Linked DNA regions of Rattus norvegicus. The protein of the gene in region 2 binds, or shares a complex with, the protein of the main gene of each other region. Links are inferred from orthologs where the notes say so. Each region holds a gene or a part of one and is shown on either strand. Other genes may lie near its edges. The genes, in order: Pigp, Pigh and Pigy.

The links.
Region 1: Pigh (region 2) and Pigp share a complex: the UniProt entries of both Homo sapiens proteins name them as parts of the glycosylphosphatidylinositol-N-acetylglucosaminyltransferase (GPI-GnT) complex. The link is inferred for Rattus norvegicus from reciprocal best matches to the Homo sapiens genes PIGH and PIGP.
Region 3: Pigh (region 2) and Pigy share a complex: the UniProt entries of both Homo sapiens proteins name them as parts of the glycosylphosphatidylinositol-N-acetylglucosaminyltransferase (GPI-GnT) complex. The link is inferred for Rattus norvegicus from reciprocal best matches to the Homo sapiens genes PIGH and PIGY.

The regions. Positions count from the first base shown.
Region 1 is NC_086029.1:47,150,192-47,156,739, forward strand, and holds the end of Pigp (phosphatidylinositol N-acetylglucosaminyltransferase subunit P), read right to left. Parts: intron 5,492-6,548; coding exon 5,419-5,491; intron 3,240-5,418; coding exon 3,121-3,239; intron 2,567-3,120; coding exon 2,442-2,566; 3' UTR 2,410-2,441; downstream 1-2,409. UniProt on the Homo sapiens protein: Part of the glycosylphosphatidylinositol-N-acetylglucosaminyltransferase (GPI-GnT) complex that catalyzes the transfer of N-acetylglucosamine from UDP-N-acetylglucosamine to phosphatidylinositol and participates in the first step of GPI biosynthesis.
Region 2 is NC_086024.1:103,618,217-103,624,574, forward strand, and holds the end of Pigh (phosphatidylinositol N-acetylglucosaminyltransferase subunit H), read right to left. Parts: intron 5,445-6,358; coding exon 5,361-5,444; intron 4,527-5,360; coding exon of another isoform or gene 4,470-4,526; exon of another isoform or gene 4,368-4,469; coding exon 4,275-4,367; 3' UTR 2,492-4,274; downstream 1-2,491. Other genes in the region: Plekhh1 (pleckstrin homology domain-containing family H member 1), read left to right, coding at 440-529, 772-918, 1,231-1,386. UniProt on the Homo sapiens protein: Part of the glycosylphosphatidylinositol-N-acetylglucosaminyltransferase (GPI-GnT) complex that catalyzes the transfer of N-acetylglucosamine from UDP-N-acetylglucosamine to phosphatidylinositol and participates in the first step of GPI biosynthesis.
Region 3 is NC_086026.1:28,963,888-28,970,213, forward strand, and holds Pigy (phosphatidylinositol N-acetylglucosaminyltransferase subunit Y), read left to right. Parts: upstream 1-2,537; 5' UTR 2,538-2,812; coding exon 2,813-3,028; 3' UTR 3,029-3,989; downstream 3,990-6,326. Other genes in the region: uncharacterized protein Pigyl1, read left to right, coding at 1,143-1,352, 1,588-2,226. UniProt on the Homo sapiens protein: Part of the glycosylphosphatidylinositol-N-acetylglucosaminyltransferase (GPI-GnT) complex that catalyzes the transfer of N-acetylglucosamine from UDP-N-acetylglucosamine to phosphatidylinositol and participates in the first step of GPI biosynthesis.

The DNA.
Region 1 (6,548 bases), on a different chromosome or scaffold from region 2:
TAGTTTATGTTATTTAAGCAGACTGCAAAATGCTGAGGTTTTTTTTTTTTTTAAACCTGTCCCTCTCACTCTTATTAAACCCAGGCTGATCTCAAACTATGTAGCTTAACATGACCTTGACCTTGGGATCTTTCTGCCTCTACCTACCATGTCTGGCTTTCAAATACTTTTCTTGAATTCTGCCACGCAGCAGGGATATACATCCTACATCTCAGCCGCAGTTGACGCACAATCTTCACAAACAAAGCATCAAAGCTGAAGGTCCGGCTTCTGACAGAGTGTGTAGGCGGCTATTGGAAATTGGAGTGGGTAGCAAAGGGAGAGAAGCAGCAGGAAGAGAAGCCAGCACAGGCCTGGTGAGCACTGGTGCCATGGCAACAGTGGCTCAGTTCCCCATGGCAACGGTGACTCAGTCCCACAGACTTTCAGAGAAGTTGCTGGAACACAACAGAATTGTGTCCTAGGGGATTAGGGGGAGAGGGTGTTTATCTACCCCTATCTACCTATTTGGGGCTCTAGGTAAATCTGTAGAGGCTAACCCATTCCTTCTAGGGTGAGCAACAAGTGGCTCCTGTATGGATCTGTTTTAAGGCTTGCACAGAGCTGTTTGGGGCATTGGTACCTGGGGTATGAGGGTGAAACAGTGTGAAGGGGCCAGGAGGGGTGCTGCACTAGAATATATGGTCTAACAGACACACTGCATGCCGATAGATTGTGTTCTACTCCAGTCCCATCCCTTCTCCCAACATCAGAGGTTCTCGAGATCTGTGCTCTAGAGAGTATATCACAGGGGGTCTAGGACACCAGACTTATTCTCAAAATAATAGTAAGATATTACTAATTCATGCTCAATCTCTGAGTGTGTAATGTTTTCCAGAAGCTTCTCAAGGTGTGTTAATGTACAGACTAACTGAAGGGGCAGGCACAAGATCCAGTTTCTTCTATAATCCAGGCATTAAAGAGATTTGCAAAATTTGAAGACGATTCTATTTGAGCCACAAATTTTGTGCTTGAAAATATGGTATTTTTCATAAGAGTAATTTGTCTTAAATTTCATTGCCTTTGAATAGGCCTATTATGTCAATGTTTTGGGTTAAATTGTTTAACACAATTTTTGTGTGTTTGTGCCCATATATGTATGTGCTGCATGCGTTTGTGCATATATACACATTATATACATATATATATACATATAATATGCGCATATGAGTGTGTGGGTATGCAAGAGGTCAGACACGTGGTAAAAAGGTGATGATTGGCAAAATTAACTTTACAACCAAGAAGAGTTTGGCTTATTATTGGTGTGTGCATGAGTACCCAGGCCACTGCACGTGTGTAAAAGTCAGAAGACAACTTGAGGGAGTTCTCTCTTGGGGATCAGACTCGGGTTGGTAGGTTTGCTGGCAATTATCCTCACCCACCAAACTATCTCACTGCCTCATGACCATTATTCATAAAAATAATATGTAAATCACACAAGCTTTTTAGAAGCTCCCCCTTTGTACGAAATATTTGAAGGTCCTGAGAATATTTAAGGTGAAGAAGAGAAGGTTCACTAAGTTTATTGTAACCCTTAAAAGAAATATAGCCCATAACATGAAAACCCCTGGTCGTGGACAATCCCTTAGGTATAAGGACAATGCCTTTGAGAGACAGATTGAAAAACTGGTTTTGAGACTAATGTGCAGGGGAGCCCTAGATTTTACTCCAAACCTTGCAGGCCTATCACTGTCCTTGAAAGGACAAGGGAACACTGGGTATTGAGTGGCAGCTCTGACTAGTTCCTGCTCTTTTGTAGGCAGTAGGCACAGTCTTGCTGATCCACCAGCTGAGCTAAGGATAAGCAGACAAGATGATCATTTTCAACTCTGGCTGCATGTGAGAAGGCTTGGGAGACATTTGTTCTTGGCTGCTTTATGTTAGGCTGGGGAGGTGGCTTAGTGGGTCAAGTATATTCTATAGAGGCCTGAGGACCTGAATTCAGATCTCTAGCTCCCATATAAAAGTAATGATGGGGTAAGAGGCAGACAGGTAGAGTCCTGGAAGTTTGTGGTCAACTAGCCTGGGGTAAGTGGTGAAGGGAGGCCAATGAGAAACCTTGTTTCAAACAAAGGGTGCCTAAAGAGAGACAACGTAAGTTGTCCTCTGACTTCTATATACACTGTGCATGTCTGCATTCACACACACATGAACACACGCATGTGTGCACATATAGATCTATTCAAGGTTGATTATAGTATAATGTTATTTTATTTATTGTCAACTAAAAACTCAATTGAAAATATTTACAATATCAATTGAACTCAATCTAAGGAATCAATTTTCATGTTTTTACATGTCTATATTGGTTATTAAAAGGACAGTCGATATCACTATGCTCAAAATCATTCAGCCCACAACTGCAAATGGTTGGTTTTAGGATGTTTATTCACAGCTCAGTTTTAGGTGTTGAGTTCTTTGGCGTCTAGGAAGAACATTCTGTTGACTTCACTAATGGGAATGTCTCTTAATGCTGGGATGGCGTCCTCTTGGTAGCTTTTCCTCTGTTGGTTTTTAGCATAGTTATCTGCAAGAAAGGAAAAGAAGCTCCACTGACCCAAGCAATTGTCTCTGTAATTTCTGTGGTTCGTTGAGACCTATGACACTGCTCAGCAGGCTGACGTACAGAGGACGGCAAGCCACGAGGTATCATTAGCTCTATCTCTCATGCTGTAAGGACGTCCCTAACGAACTAAGGCTTAGTTACATGGAGACAGTTCACCTCGGAGGGGAGGGATGTCAGTAGGAGCAGGAGGTGGCAGATCACATGTGCTCACCATGTGTACATTAGGAGTCGGACAGGGATAAATGTTCATATTCAGTTTATTTTTTCCTTTTCATTCAGACCTCGACCCATGGAATGGTACACTCCACATTTAAGGTATCTTCCCACCTCGATAAACCAAATCTAGATAAGCCTCCTAGAGTGCTCGGTATTTGTTTCCATGGTGACTCTAAATCCCTATGAGCTGCTGATCGAGATTAATCATCGTGCCATGTTTAACGTAGCAGATGTTTTCTCACAATGTGTTTCTGAGGCCCACTCCCTATGCCTCACAATTTTATTTCATGTAAACTTACCTGTGATCGTATGGATGGAGTCAAGTGGAGAGGTACTCATCATGTTGATTCCAAATAAGAGCACGTAACCAATTACAACCGTGATCAAGAGATAGACAGGCAACGCAACTGCCCAGTACCTGCACAAGAGAATTCATACATGCTAACAAACTTGTCAAGGAGTCCTAATTCCCAAAACACACGCTAATAATCTGTATTATTATTAAAGTAGCTGACGCATGTAATGGATAGCCCGTACAAGGGGGTCAATGGACAGCTGCAGACAGGTGTCTCAGCCATGCTATCCCAGCCGTAGAGTTTTATTCTGTCCACACGAGTTCTTTCAATATCTGAGCTGTTTCTTCTGGCATTTATATCCCCACATCCATATAACATGCCTACATCAAGATTTTCATCGGCCTCAGACATTTTCTCCAGATGTCCTAATATGAAAGTGAGGTATTTACTTCTTCCTCATACTTTCTGCATATGCTGACCTTTTATTATGTCAGCAGTTAAAAACAACTGATCATGTCAGCAATATTTGCAACTGGGAACCTTAGTGTATTATGTTTTCTTTCTTTCTTTTTTTTTTTTTTTAATTCTTTTTTTTGGAGCTGGGGACTGAACCCAGGGCCTTGCGCTTGCTAGGCAAGTGCTCTACCACTGAGCTAAATCCCCAACCCCATATTATGTTTTCTTATGTTTTGTCTGAGACTATACGTTTCTGTCTACTGCTTCTCCCAGAATCTATCAATGCTCCAGAATCAAATTCGTATATGCCTCTCAGCTTCCCTCTCAATGCAGTGAAGCTCACTAAGTGTTCTATCTTGCCAGGTTTTGTTAAATCACTTCCTCCCAACCCTTTTTCCCTGCTAGGCCTTCTAATAGTTTTTTGCACCATTATACATTCCTCTGTTTTCCATCTCTGCTTTCTGTTTCACTGTTTCAGCCATCAACTTTCTAGATGAGATTTTAATAACCGTGCTTATAACTTTTCAGTGGTTGGACAGCATACCATTCAGGATTCTTTTCTCATCTCAGATTGAACTTTTCCCTTCTGCAGATAGATTTATCTCCACTCCTTTTAGTATCTTCTTCTCTTTTGTATTTAGGGACAGACTTTTCTTTTAGTGCCTGGTCTTTATGATGGCGTATTTATATTTAAGATCCAAGGGATAAGTTGACAGGAAGCAAGGTATGTACAAGGGCAGAGACGGCAGAAAGGTGGATTGTAGATGCTGCCTTTTACCCTGGTCAGCATCCTCAGAAAGGCATTTCCCACCTTTCTCTGGGAAGGGGTGAAGCCTGGGAAGGGAAGAAGCTAGGGGAGGGAGCCTTACTCAGCTATGCAGATAATGGTTTATTATCAGTTTTTACAGTTAGCCCTTGTAACTTCCAGACTACAGACTCTGCCCAACACTTTCCACAGGATGGAACTATCTTCTAAGGGGAAGGCAAGGTCAATCTCCAGGTTTAAAATATGGAAGGAGAGTCAGCAGGTCTAATGCATTTTAAAGACACTTCCTGTCCAATGCAAAATTATCATTACCAAGAGATGCTGCTGCTTCCGAGGTCTGGGTCATTTTTGGAATTCCAGGACATAAATGTTCTTGCTGGGTTCCCCCATCTACCACATGTAAATACCAGAATCTTCTATCTCAAAGTGCTAAAATTTTGTTAATATCTTATCTGCTTTCCTATGTGTGTGCTTATACCTTTAAAAGATTTTTCAATAATGGTATAATTTTAGTATGACTTTAGGAGGAAACAGAGATAAACGTTTACCCCACCACCTTCAGTTAGTGATATATTAATAACCTTTAGACCTGTCAATTGCTGTTGGGGTATGGCTCACCAGTTAAAGTCCTTGCCACCCAAGTGTGAGGACCTGAGTCTGGATTCTCAGACCCAGGTATGAGCTGGGCTTTTGTGGCAGACCAGCTGTAAGTCTAGCACAGGGAATTCTGGAGCAAGCTGGCTAGTCTAGAACTAGCTGTAGATAGAACTCTGGGTTCAATTTTGAGACCTTGCCTCCACACATAAGGTGGAGAGTATCAAGAAAGACTCCTGACATCAACATTGAGGCACTACATGCACATGCAAATATGTTTACCTGCACATAATGTGGCCACACACATGTGAACACCCCTATTACCCTCCCACTCCCCAGCACAAAAATAAGAGTAATGTTCAACTTCAACACAGATACTCATGGATTTTAAAGGAGTAATGATCTGAGGCTTGGGTTTTAAAGAAGAGTATTGCCCCTCAAAACAGTTACCAGTTTTACCCCCACTGAACAAATATTCAACTTACTTTTGAGGCCAGTAAGTTAAGCCTAAGGAGTTTAGCCAAGATTCGGGAACGAAAGCCCACACAAGATAGAGTACTGCAGGGTAGAGAGGGCAAGGGAAGAGAGAAGACATGTCAGAGCGGCACGGTCCAGTCTGTAAGGTTCATAAACGACAAGAACACTCCCCAAAGCTTCGCACTCTCAGAATCCAGGATCTCTAGTGGCTGCCTTATTTGTACCTTTCTTGTAATACCTACCATAATTACTCTATTAAAAGTTTTTAGTGTCTTGGTTTTCACACTGCACTTTAAAAAGCCTATGGATACCACCCAGAGGTCCCAGGGACTAAACCACCATTCAAAGAGTACACATGGAGGGACCCATGGCTCCAGCTGCATATGTAGCAGAGGATGGCCTTGTTAGGCACCAATGGGAAGAGAGGCCCTTAGTCCTGTGGAGACTTGATGCCCCAGCGAAGGGGGATGCTAGAGTGGTGAGGCAGGAGTGGGTAAGCACCCTCATAGCGGTAAAGGGGAGGGGTACAGGGGGAATGGAATGGGGGGATTGTGGAGGGGTAATCAGGGAGATATCATTTTAAAGGTAAATGAATAAAATGACTAATAAAAAAGTCTGTGACATATTATTTCTTAGCAACTTCTTTTCACAGCACCTAACAGTTTGCTTCTGCATTCTACATGTTCACTATTTCTCCACAGAGAAGATATAATTGCATTTAGTGGCTTAAAGGGGAACTTGTCCTCTCTGGTTTTGACTGTCTATACACAATCTTCTTTCTGTCAACACCCTGTCATTGTGGGCTCCTTTCCTGCTGTCTCCGTGCAGTAACAATAGGTCCTGAATGTCTCTACATGCACTAACTCGTTTAATCTTCAAAACAGTCCTGAAGCACACACGTCTGTTTTATACATGAGAAAGGACTCATTTGTACAAGGGAAGTGAAGACAGGTTTCAAGCTACATCAACGGTGATGGTTTTTTTTCCGTTAAGAATGAAGTGTTACAGCTTTGTAGGTCAAGACTGGGATACAGTCACTCCTGAAGAGAGGGTTTGTGCTTTCCCAAATGCTTCTGGTGCTGAACAACGATGGGAAAAGAGATCTTTCCCCTACTCTGTTGTAAGTGGTACTAAGAGA
Region 2 (6,358 bases):
AGGAAATGGCTACCAAATAGTCACAAACTCACTGAAAGGACCTAAGGCCCATCTCACTTAATTCTTGTTATCCTATTTCTTTTATAGTTCATAGGAAGTTGGTTAAAGCAAGATGTATTTGCTTGTGAGAGTTTGAGGTACAGGAGAAAATACCTACCAACTAAGCTACACACCCAGCCCCTAGTTCAGCTTGTCTTCTGACCACAGAGCTCTCCATCCTGTTCTGACAGGTGTGACTCCCTCTACCTTTTCAATGTTGGGTGGCAGAGACCCAAGGCCAATGCCTCCTGCCAATCCCTGATGCTACAGAAATGCACTTTTCTGTGTTTTCCACCATGACAGGACTGTCCATCAGACTCTGGGTGGACCCCTCTTCCTCAGAGTGTGCTTACATTCAGAATCTCTAACTGTGGGTGGGTCTGACACGCTTTTTCTGCAGCCTGCCCAGCCGTTGTCTTCTAAGGAGAACACTCCGGTGTGGATTGCTGTGAATGAGGATGGTGTTAGTATCCTGGACCAACGCACTATGGTATGAGAGGAAAGGGCTGGTTCCAATCCTTTTTAGTCTTAAGCTCTCTACTCTGGTCGGAGGTCTGAACTACGTGGCCATGGTTCCTCTCTTCGGCTCTTGCCGAGTAGTGCTGTCTTATAGTCTGAGCACAACTTACATACATCAAGATTTAGCTCTCTAAATTATCATCACCTTGGGGTTCTCCTTCCCTGTGTCTAAAAGAAAGAGTTTCCCCTGAACTGGACTGGCTCCTCCCACAGCAGGTGAACATCACTTATCCCTACTCTTCAGTGACAACGTTCGGTGGCTGCAGGGACGACTTCATGCTTGTGATTAGATCCATTCCAGACCAGAACTCTGGAAAAACCCGTATTGACAAGTTGACCTTCCGAATGCCTGCTCCCAAGGTGGGTCTGACAACTACTGTAACAGTTTGCTCTGGCCTGGTGTGGTGTGATGTAAGCTTGATACTTAGAAAACTCTGGACAGCATCCCCAAGGGTTCAGGTGGAATAGCATATCCATCTTTCTATTGAGCTGGACTTGTGGGAACTATCTGATCCAGCAACTGCTGTCCCTCCTGGCCTCAGGAGGGTACAGTGCATCTCAGACTCTCTAGGCCAACAGCAACTAAAGCCCAGGTACTCAATGTTAGAGCCAGTGAAAAACCAGCATTCAAGATAAAGCTAGTTTAATCCTTCACTTTCCTGATCTCCTTAGATTACAGACACTACCTTAGTGATGGCCAGCTACATGAACCACTGTTCTGCAACTGTGAACCTATCAGCCAAGCTCCCTGCAGCCCGCCAGCCCAGAGACCTGGATGGACAGTTTTTTGCTTCTGTTTCCTGCACTAAGGGGTCAGCTTTGCTGTGAACGTTTCTCCTTCCCATACCCTTAAACCACCCCTGGTGCCTCTGGGATTAGATTATATCCTGGAGCATACTACTGTGATGGGTCTAATGGCCCCTCCTCAAACTGTTCTGTGAAATGTATATTTCAGGGTCTCTTGAAACCTTTGTGACCGTTAGGTGCCTTATCTTTCAAGGCCTAATGTTTTAAGATTCAGACCCAACATCAAAACCACTATTTCTTTAACAAGAATACTGACTCCGGATGCTACCTGATTCTAGATTAAGACAGGGATGGCCCGCAGTTACCAGGGCAATGGTACTGTATTTGGGGCTTCTGCACTGATACTCAGGGAAGCTCATCTTTTTATATTGTACATGGTCTTTACGTGGGGACTTATACTTGAAGTTTTCTGAACATCCCTGAATAAAATAGGACTAAAGTTCCTAATTCACCTAAACTCTGGCAAAAGCCTACAAATCTCTAAAATTGAATTTCTTTCCCAAATGGGAAAAACACTGGGGCAGCAGCTCTAATATTTTCAGGACAGCACAGTGTTCTGTTAAGAGTAAAGCCCTCTCGGGGCTGGGGATTTAGCTCAGTGGTAGAGCGCTTGCCTAGGAAGCGCAAGGCCCTGGGTTCGGTCCCCAGCTCCGGAAAAAAAAAAAAAGAGTAAAGCCCTCTCTCTCACACTGGACTAGCACAGGTAGGGACAGAGCCACACCCTTCCTGTGTCATTTTAAGGCTCTGCAAAGCTCGGTGACGGCTGTGCTCACTCCTGAAGGACAAGGTGGTCATCGTCTCCCTGCACTCTTAAAGACCACACACATGAATTTTGCTTGTTGCTGCTCTCAGAGGCCACCAGAACAAGGTGTCAGGAACAATAAAGACCCTTCCATTATTGGAAGGCCTGGATTGCTCACCAAGACTTTTGGTAGATGGCTTCTTGAAATCATTTGGAAGCACAGGGCATGTATATGATATCTGCCCTAGTAACATGTGGAAACAGAAGTTTCTTCCAACTTTGCCTTCCTGAGAATATTCTAACCCCTCTCAACTCAAATCTAGCTGATTTTGATGAAGATGATCTTTATTTTACCTCCCCACAAAATAAAAAAAAAGTTCATACTTTGGTTTTCCAACATATAAAAAAATAAGCTTTATTGTATAGCTTTCAGACAGTTTATCATTTTTCAGTAACATGGACTAGGGAATAGGAAGAATATCAAGAAATAAGCCTTTAACCTAACAATGTGTGTGTTGTACACCACAAGAAACTGCAAGGCCAAAAATTAGTTTGTCCGAATGCCTCAGCTGCTGTAGTCTTTCATCCTTTGAACTGACAAGCCTGACTTTAAAAGGGCACAAGAGTCTGCCTCTTAAAGGAGCGTGGCTCGAAAGCCAGGCAGCTTTATAACCGTTTCTGTTTGCACCCCAACTCCCACCCCAGAATTTGGGGTTGTAGTGGAGACAGGTCTACCTCAAGTCACATCACTATAGGCTCCTGGACAGCTCCTTCAAGGCTGGCTGAAAGGCAGAGAATTCAGTTCTAGGTTTACATCCAAGGGCCTTGAAGCCAGTAAGGATGCAGTCTGCTCTTAGGTTGTTTGTGCTTTGTAAACAGAACTCCAGCTAATGCAACTATTTGTACTAGACTTGAAGGTCAGAGACTTGAAGGTCAGATCTGTTGCTGCTCCCCTCCCCACCCCCCTAGTCCCCCCTTCTCTCTTGCTCTCTTTGAGACAGGGTTTCACTGTGCAGCCTTAGCTGTCCTGGAACTCCCTATGTAGACCAGGCTAGCCTAAAACTCAGAGATCTACCTGCCTCTGCCTCTGCCTCTGCCTCCCAAGTGCTGAGATTAATGGCAAATGCCGCCTAATCCAGCTCCTTTTCTCCTTCCTGATCTTTAGAATCTAAGGAACCACCTTTGAAACAAAGGCTTCTGTAAACTGGCTTCTTCATCCTTTAATGTGACAGTCTCAAGTCTGGGAACCAACATGTAATCTCTCATTTTTCATCTAAGCCCTCTTAGCCAAGCAGCTTTTGAGCAATAGAAAATATTAAGTAACAGAAAGGTACTAATATGCTTGACACCCATGGCTGAAATGCTGTGTATTATGTCTGTCAATAAAAAGCTGTCAGTGAACCAGACCATGACTGTGTGTTGTACATGTTTATTACCTTGGGGTTTGAGACAGTCTCATCATGTAGCCCAGGCTGGCCTCAAACTTTTCAATCTTCCTGTTGACACCTTCTGAGAGCTGGGATTACAGGCATCCACACCATTCCTACCTAAACTGTGGATTAAGGAGTCACTGTCCTGCACAGATCACAGGAGCTAGGTGGACAGAGGCTAGCCCTTTGTAAGGCATTTTATTCCTGCTAATTCATACATAAAAACGTGACTTATTTTTCCCTAGCTTTTCAATAAGAGTCTATACAGATGGAATTATATTTTTCTTGTGAAATCTGGTACATCTTAATACTCCACAGATTTTAACACAAACATGAAGGTACTTAAAATTTTCTTTCTGGACAATACATTTTTGGGGGTGGGGGAATCCTCACTATGTAACCCAGAATGGCCTTAAACTCAAGAGATCACCTGCTTCTGCCTCTTGAATGTTGGGACTAAAGGCATGTGGCACTATGACTGGCCTTCTTTTGACAAGTCAAAATCCTTAAGGTCTCCCCTTGATCAGTAATATAGATAAAACCTATACCGGGAACATTATGACACACACATCATGAACATGAATCAAGTTCCAGCCCCTCTTCTGTGGTTCTGAGATCTACTCGTTTTGATTCCCAGGACCGTGTCTGTCCGATGGTTTTGACAGTACAGAGAGTAAACCAGCTACTGTGGTTGAGGAGTCCTCTCCATAAAGATACTGGCGATTGAGTGCTGAGAGTCATAGGCTTGTTGGCGTGGCTTTCTGGTGTGCCAGAATCTCCTGGCAGCTTCTGTAGATTTCAATCAAGCAGTCCAACCGGGGCTTGGCGCTCTGGATTCCAAGGGGAGAGATGCAGAGCCAGGGGAGTGTGAGAAGAATGCACCTGCACCCTCCACCTCTCATACACCACAGCTCCAAATGTCAGCTGTGCGCTCAGACACAAGGGCGGGCGAGCGGATGAGGACCTGCTGGGAGGTCTCTAAATCCGGCCTTTGTGTGGGGGTGTGGGTGTGCAGGGGAGAAGGGGAGAAGGGGAGATAAAAAGAGGTTTTGGTGTGGTTTGGTTTGGTTTCTAGGCAGGGTTTCTCTGTGTAGCCCTGGCTGTCCTGTAACTTATTTTGCAGATCAGGCTGCTTCTGCCTCCTGAATGCTGGTATTACAAGCATGCAATCACATGACAGTGAGACAGATCATGTCAGAAAATGTTACAAGTTGTGAAAGAAGCATCAGAGACAAGATGTACATTCTGAAAAGATCTTGTATTATAAAATGTAATGCAACTAAAATTAAAAGACAACCCACAGAATAGGAAAACTGTATGAATGTCCATTTAATAAATGTTTACTATGCAAAATAACCCAAAATTATTACAAATACATAACTGATCTCTAGGTTCTATCATTGAGCAGAGAAGATTGATAGTTTACATGTTTTACCATAGTGGTTTTTATTGAAAGATCAAAACAAGATAATCTAGACATTATTTAAAACCTAGCAATAACACAGCTAAGTAAGCTGATACTTTAAGTATAATGGCTGTGACAGACAAGACATTATTTATATTATTACCCTCAACCTTAAGATATCAAGGTAAAATTATAGGTGAACAGAACTGAAGTACAAGAATGTGATTTGTAGGTAGAAGTGGTTATATGATTGGGAACTGTCTTCTCTAAAATCTAAAAAACCCTTTTACTCAAATTGGTTGTCAGACATTGCCAGTACTCTGACAACAGAAGTTCGTGTCCTACTGCACTTTCTGACTTAAGGGTAAGCAGAAAGAAAAGGCAGGCTTTCGGGAGAAAGGGAGAGCATGGTACTCACCTGGAAGACAGGCACTACTTGGGATATCTCATGTGGTTTCCCTGGATCCTTCAGTAAAATGCAGAGGTAGTAAATGACCTTCTGCTGTAAGAAAAGAAACCAGACAGAGACCTCAGTGAAACTCATCTTGTTCCTTTTTTCTTCAGAGGCAGACTAAAGAGTCCTTTTCGTAAAGTATCTCTTGTGTAGTAAAATATCTGACAACTTCTGAAACAGAAGAAAAGTATATTTTTGCAATGGGGGGCATGGTGGTGGTGGCACACACCTTTAATCCTAGCACTTGGGAGGCAAAGGCAGGGGGATCTCTGTGAGTTCCACGATAGCCAGGGCTTCACAGTGAAACCCTGACTGGAAAAAAAAAGGAACTTTCATTTCTTATTTTATATATAAAAAATATTTTTGTTTGTTTTTCTTGAGACAGGGTCTAATGAAATAGTCATGGCTAGCCTGGAACTCCCTTTGTAGACCAGGCTGGACTCATTAAGAGAGCTCTACCTGCCTCTGCCTCTGCCTCCCAAGTGCTAGGATGAAAGGGACAAGCCACCATGGCAGCAAGAGATCATCACTGTGTTGTAATGTGCTCACAAATAGAAACATCAGAGCTAGATTAAGGTAGTTACTCAAAACTATCCAGTCAGAATGGCCACTCTGGAGCCACGGGGCCTCACTTAGGGGTTATACTTTATCAACTACACTTTTATGCCACATATCCACTACAAAACAAGAAAAAACATGATGGAGTCGAAACTAGAACAGCAATTAGCTTTCTCTCTTCCTTCATAATTTCATGTATGCATTTACCTCCATTTTGTCCTTTAATAGATCACCCCCCCTCCAAAAAACAAAAACAAAAACAAAAACAAAAACAAAAAACGTTCCTTTGAACCAGAAGTTCATAGGACCAAGGCAGGTGGCTGCTTGAGACTAGGTTGGACCTGGGCAACACAGTAAGTCCTCGTGCCCTAGAGGAAGAAAGCAACAAGTAAACAAACATGTCT
Region 3 (6,326 bases), on a different chromosome or scaffold from region 2:
GGTTTACCCTTTACAATTTCAAACCGCCACTTTCCTATGTGCCACGTCGATCTCCTCTCTATCCAGGCCTTTGTTGTGTTGTCACCATCCTCTCTGTTGTGCGCCCCCGCCCCCGCCCCAATCCTTTAAATCCAGTCTTTGATTCATTCCCTGCCCTTTGTCCTTTGGGGCAAATCTCTGTGCTCAGAACTCGGTTTTGGGTGTCTTGTGCCAATACTGGTCCCTCCACAGGCTTGTGCAGTGAGTGTCTTTACCACTTGAACCATCTTGATACTTTTTGTTTCGATTTTTAAAAATTTAATTTAAAAAAATGTTCATATCTGCTCTGTGTAAACCATAGGATGGCTTTGTCCTCAGCTCTTTTCTGCCACCTTGTGGTTGCACTAAAAACTGCATGGAATCGATACCACTACTTACCTGTGCGAAGAAAAACTTTCTGATCTTTTAGTTTGCTGGAAGATTAAGGGATGGCGGTCCCTGTGTGGTACTGCATAGAATCCTAGCTCAGTCTCATTTTTCTTTACTCTGGGATCAGAGACAACACTGTCTTACTAGGCAAAGCGGTGGCTGTGCACAGCATTTACTACCCGTCCCCCAACACACACACACACACACACACACACCGTCTTACTATGTAGTTGCGATGACCTGGGTGTATGTAGACCAGGGTGACCTCAAACTCACAGAAATCTTCCAGCTTTTGCCTACTGAGTGCTGGGATTAGGAGTTTAGGCTCCCATGCCTGGCTACATTCTCTCTCTCTCTCTCTCTCTCTCTCTCTCTCTCTCTCTCTCTCTCTCTCTCTCTCTCTCTCTCTCTCTCTCTCTCTCCCTCTCTCCCTCTCTCTCTCTCTCTCTCTCTCTCTCTCTCTCTCTCTCTCTCTCTCTCTCTCTCTCTCTCTCTCTCTCTCTCTCTCTCTCTCTCTCTCTCTCTCTCTCTCTCTCTCTCTCTCTCTCTCTCTCTCTTTTGGTTCTTTTGTTTCGGAGCTGGGGACCGAACCCAGGGCCTTGCGCTTCCTAGGCAAGCGCTCTACCACGGAGCTAAATCCCCAACCCCAACATTCTCTCTTAAAATTGCATTTTACACTTTTTGCAGGAGTACACGCGGGTGTGCTGCAGTACATGCGTGGAGGTCAGAGGACAATGCGAGAAGAAAATAGGTTCTCCACCGTGGGGGTGGGGGTCCCCGAGGATCGAACTCAGTTACTAAGGCTTGGCAGGAAACGCCCGTACTCGCTGAGCCCTCTCATCGGCCCAAACTACTATTTTGACATTCACCAATTCAAACGTAAAACGACGGATCGGACTCGTTCCCCGCTGCTTCAGAGGCTGGGTGATGGTGGCTGCGACCAAGTTTGATTCAGGCTTCAAGTTTATCAGTTAGAAATGGGGAAAGCTTTTCAGCGCAGAAAGACACCGGTCTGCTCTGGAACGCCGTGAACACACTCTGCGGCAAATACGTTCCTCTCCAAGGTCCAGCAGTCCTGGCACACAGGACGCCCAGCCGGAGGCCGTGGGGTCCGGGGCAGGGAGGTCCTTATCAATCAGGGTCCTCTCAGCACCCCTCTGGCTTCACCCGTCACTCAAGACTACGGGGGCGGAGCCTGAGCGCCGGAGCGAAGGCGTGGTGCGCTGTCCAATGAGCACGCGCGGATCGGCTCCCTCGCGGGATCTGGGTTTCTTACCCCGCCCCCTCAGGGATTTGATTGGGCGGCTGGCCCGGGTGCTCCGCCTTCGTAGAGCGGTGACGGTCACAGCCAGGCGCAGCCGGGACCCGGACATTTACAGGCCAGTGAATGGTGAGTTCAGGGTCTCGAGATCCGATACGGGCGGAGGAGCTGTTGGAACCGGCTGGGACAGGACTCGCGCTAGCAAGGCGTCTGCGCCACGGACGCCTCCGGTTCCGCTTGGCTGGCTGGTTCACTTTCGATTCGGCCGGGTTCTCCTCTGCCCTGTTCGGCTTGGTCCGGTTCTCTCCGGCTTGGCTCGGTTCTCTCCGGCTTGGCTCGGTTCTCTCCGACCCGGCCATCGCTACCCTCGGTCAGCCAGAGACTGCAGCGGGACCCGGGTGCCCCTTCGCGTCCCCGAGGCGACTGGGCCCAGGGCTGGCGCTGTCTTCACTCTGTGCATTGACGACGGGCGGCTCGTGACGAGGCTCCGGGTTCCGGTGCTGGTCCCCAGCCGGTCCTCGTCGTACGGGAAGCCTCCACTCAGGTGTCTGAAGTGAATCTGGATTTGTAGGTCTCATTCCGCTTCCTCGGTTCGAGAAAACACTATCAGTCCACCTGTCCTTCATTCTGCTTTTCGAATTTCTTAGTTCCCAAAGAAATGGATGACACTTGAGTGTTTTGAAGGTTTGTTTTCTAGTCGGGCGTGGTGGCTTGGGAAGACTGATGCAAGAGGATCCCAATGTTTGAGGCCAGACTGCAAGTGACAGCAATCCTCCTGCCTTTAACCTGCTCAGTACTGTACAGGCTGTTTCCCCTTCTTTTCCTTTCCCTTCCCCTCATCTTGTCATCTTGCACTTTTCTCATACAGTAAGGAATCCTTTAGCCAGCGCTGCGAGGGACACGTGTGTTGTCTGCAGTCGCTGGTAACCGCTTCGTGTGGTGGTGGATTGGATCAGAACGAGGCTGAGGAGCCGTCACCCTCAGCCTGGGACCGCTGAAGTTTTTGTGTGCTCTTGGGAAGCATGCCTGGATGAAAGAGGAGTCCAGAGAAAGGGAAGATAAGACAGGAGTGCACCAGCACAAGAACATAACTTTGAAAACAACCGAGTTTTCTTGAACTGTATACCTTCAGAAGGGAGGAGGATGATCCTGTCTCTGCCCACCCTGACTGTCCTCATCCCGCTCATCTCCCTGGCGGGCCTGTTCTACTCCGCCTCTGTGGAAGAAAACTTCCCAGAGGGCTGTACCAGCGCCAGCAGCCTGTGCTTCTACAGTTTGCTTCTGCCGGTCACCGTACCGGTGTACGTGTTCTTCCACCTGTGGACTTGGATGGGCCTGAAGCTCTTCAGACATAACTAGGGTAGCTGAGGCCCCGCTTGTGCACGGGGCAAGAGGCTCCTGGTTGTTGGGTTCTGCCCTCAGGTGTTGCAGATTCTCCTGTTAGTGCTGTAGCTGAAAAACACTTACAATAAATATGTCCCAAGGGAGAGGAACATGACCGGTCTTCATCCGAAGACTGTTTTTTCTAAGATTTATTCTTAATTATGTGGATATGAGTGTGGGTCCCCAAAGAGGCCACACGAGGGTTGGAGGTACGAGCAACTGTAAGACTGCCGGAGCTTTACTCAGATCCTCTGCAAGGGCAAGCAAGTTCATGTCCTTAACCCCTGAGCATCTCTCCACCTGCCTGTTTCCTCCCTTCCCTTAGTTCTGGCTAACCTCAAACTGTGAGAGGCAGACCTTGACCTCCTTACCTTCCTGTCTCTACCTCCTGAGTGCTGAAGTTATAGGCAAGCATTGCCGCATGTGTTTATGTGGTCTGGCAGAACCCAGGTCGTGAACGCTAAGTCGGCACTCTGCCAGCCAACCACCCTGAGGACTGTGTTGTTGTTGTTGTTGTTTTGAGTCCATTCATTTAAAAGTCCGTCATTTGGAAGCCGAGCAGTGGTGGCACTCACCTTTACTCCCAGCACTCGGGAGACAGAGGTGGATCTCTTGAGTTTGGGCCAGCACAACGAGACTGTAAAAATAATAATTTGGGATTTTGTTTCAGCTTCAAGGTCAGTGGTGAGGTGTTGGATCTGCTGAGACAAGGGTTTCAGATGGTTGGGAACTACTGTGTGGGTGCTGAAGAAAATCCAGTGCTCAGGGATGACTCCTTTGAGGAGCTGAGTGGTCCGTAGGTTGGTGGCTCACAACTGCCTGTATTTCCAGTTCCAGAGGCTCTGACTCCCTCTGCTGGACTCTGGGTACCTGCACACCTGTGACATGTCTATTCATTCACACACATTAATAAATTTATTTTTAAGAGGGAAAAAAATCTGACTATAAACTTACCTTCATTGTTTTTTCTTTTACATTTATTTTTTTTCTTTTCTTTTTTTTCAGAGCTGGGGACCGAACCCAGGGCCTTGCACTTGCTAGGCAAGCGCTCTACCACTGAGCTAAATCCCCAACCCCTCTTTTACATTTATTTATATGAGTACACTCTAGCTGTCTTCAGACACACCAGAAGAGGGCATTGGGTCCCATTACAGATGGTTGTGAGCCACCATGTGGTTGCTGGGAATTGAACTCAGGACCTCTGGAAGAGCAGCCAGTGCTCTTAACCACTGAGCCATCTCTCCAGCCCCTACCATCATTTTTTCAGTGTCAGGTGAGCAAGGTCAGTGTTGGTGTTTTCTGGTTCTTGGATTCTTATTCAAGGAATAAAGGCCCATATACAGATTTTCAAAGTTGCAAGGAAATTTCACTCAAAGCAGAGCTAGATCAGGCATGCAGATACATGAGCCTATGGGGGCTCTTCTTACTCAACCACGACACCTGTTCTCCCAGCCTAAATTCCTCTGACTCCTTATGACTCCCTGTACCTCTAAGTTCAGAGGCTCTGCCTCCAAAAGCACTGTACTCAGGTTTTTAACACACACCCCTAAAAATAAACACAAAGTTTTCAAAAAAGAGAACATGTTTTCTTTGGCTGAAAGCCGTCCATCCTTGCTTGAAGGTAAGCCAGAGATGGGTGTGACCATTGCCAGTTCTTGATGCCTGCATTGGACAGAGTCTGGAAATCCTTGAGTACATTGGGCCCTGTGGCCCAGAGGCTGTGACATTCTTCCTCTGGGGAAGTCCCAGACACCCTGGAAACAGGGTTAAAGAAGTCAGGGGGCTGGAGTGATGGCTCAGAGATTAAGAGTGTCCTACTTTTTTTTTTTTTTTTGGTTCTTTTTTTCGGAGCTGGGGACTGAACCTAGGGCCTTGCGCTTCCTAGGTAAGCGCTCTACCACTGAGCTAAATCCCCAGCCCCAAGAGTGTCCTACTTTTAGGAAGTGATTTTTTTTAGATCATGAGTGGTTTACTTGCTTGTATAAATGAGCCCTCTGCTTGAGATGCACACAGAGGTTAGAAGCCGGTATTGGATCCTCTGGAACTTGAGTTAAGGAGTTATGTGAGCCACCGTGTGGGTGCTGGGAACTGAACCTGGGCCCTTGTCAAGAACAGCAAGAGCTCTTCCAAGTCATCGCTCTAGCTCCTGGGTTATTTTCTGTTGCTGTGGTAAAACAACCACAAGCAACTTAGGGGAGGAAAGGTTTGTCTGACTTCCACTTTTAAGTTGTAGTTCATCAATGAGGGGGAAGTCAGGGCAGGAGCTCAAAGTGGGGACCTGGAGGCAGGAATTGAAGCAGAGACCATCGGATGGCTTGCTCCCCAGCTCACATTCAGCTACTGTTCAGACTGCCTGGGTAGGGGTGGCACCACCCACAGTGGGCTGGGCCCTCCTGTATCAGAAATAAAGAAATCGTGTCATAGACATATCCACAGGCCAATCGATTAAGCAATTAAGCAGTTCCTTGAGGTTCCCTCTTTCTGGGTGACAGTGTGGTTTCCAGTGCCTGTGTATGGTGGCTCACTATTGCCTGTAACTCAATGCCCTCTCTGATATCCTTGGACAACTGCACTTGTACACATACCCAGGTACTGTTACAGACAAACATAAAAAAATCTATTATTGTTGGCTTAGGGGAACCAGAAGTTCCGGCTGGGAAAAGGGCCATGGAGATGACCGTCACCACCTCTGTGCTTACCCTAGAGCAGCATGCCCTAGTTCCTTCCCATGTGAGGGCTGGGACCCGGCAGACAGCACCACCCCTTCCCAGATTGTGTGGAGGCTCAAGGTCATGGACAGAAGGATCTGTGGTGTGCCAGTATCTGGTCTGCCCTTGTTCCCCCATAGCTCTTTGCTTTTGAGTCTTCCAACAGTACAGGAAGCAGTCTTACATCCTCAGCCCAGACCCCAGAGGCCCAGCTCTTCCCTTTCCTCTCTGGACAGGCTGAAGGGCCTTTTCTGCAACCGTTTGAAGAACAGTGAAGCACACCTCTGCTTTACAGGAGAGATGAGAATGGCTCACTGTGAGAGTGGTTGTAGGCCTGTGATGAGTGAGTGTGTGTGTGTGTGTTGTCAGCCAGGACTTCAGTAAAAATACATCAGTAGCAAATAAACTCTAAACATCTGTGGCCTCCTTTGGGGATAACATTCTAGATTTTACAAGTCAGCTATGGGATGGGAGATCCAAGTTTTCATTGGCCTCCCCAGGGGTAAGGCTTAGAGGTACTTATGGGATAAAGAAGCAGTGTGAGGTGAGAAGGCATCTGAGGTCAG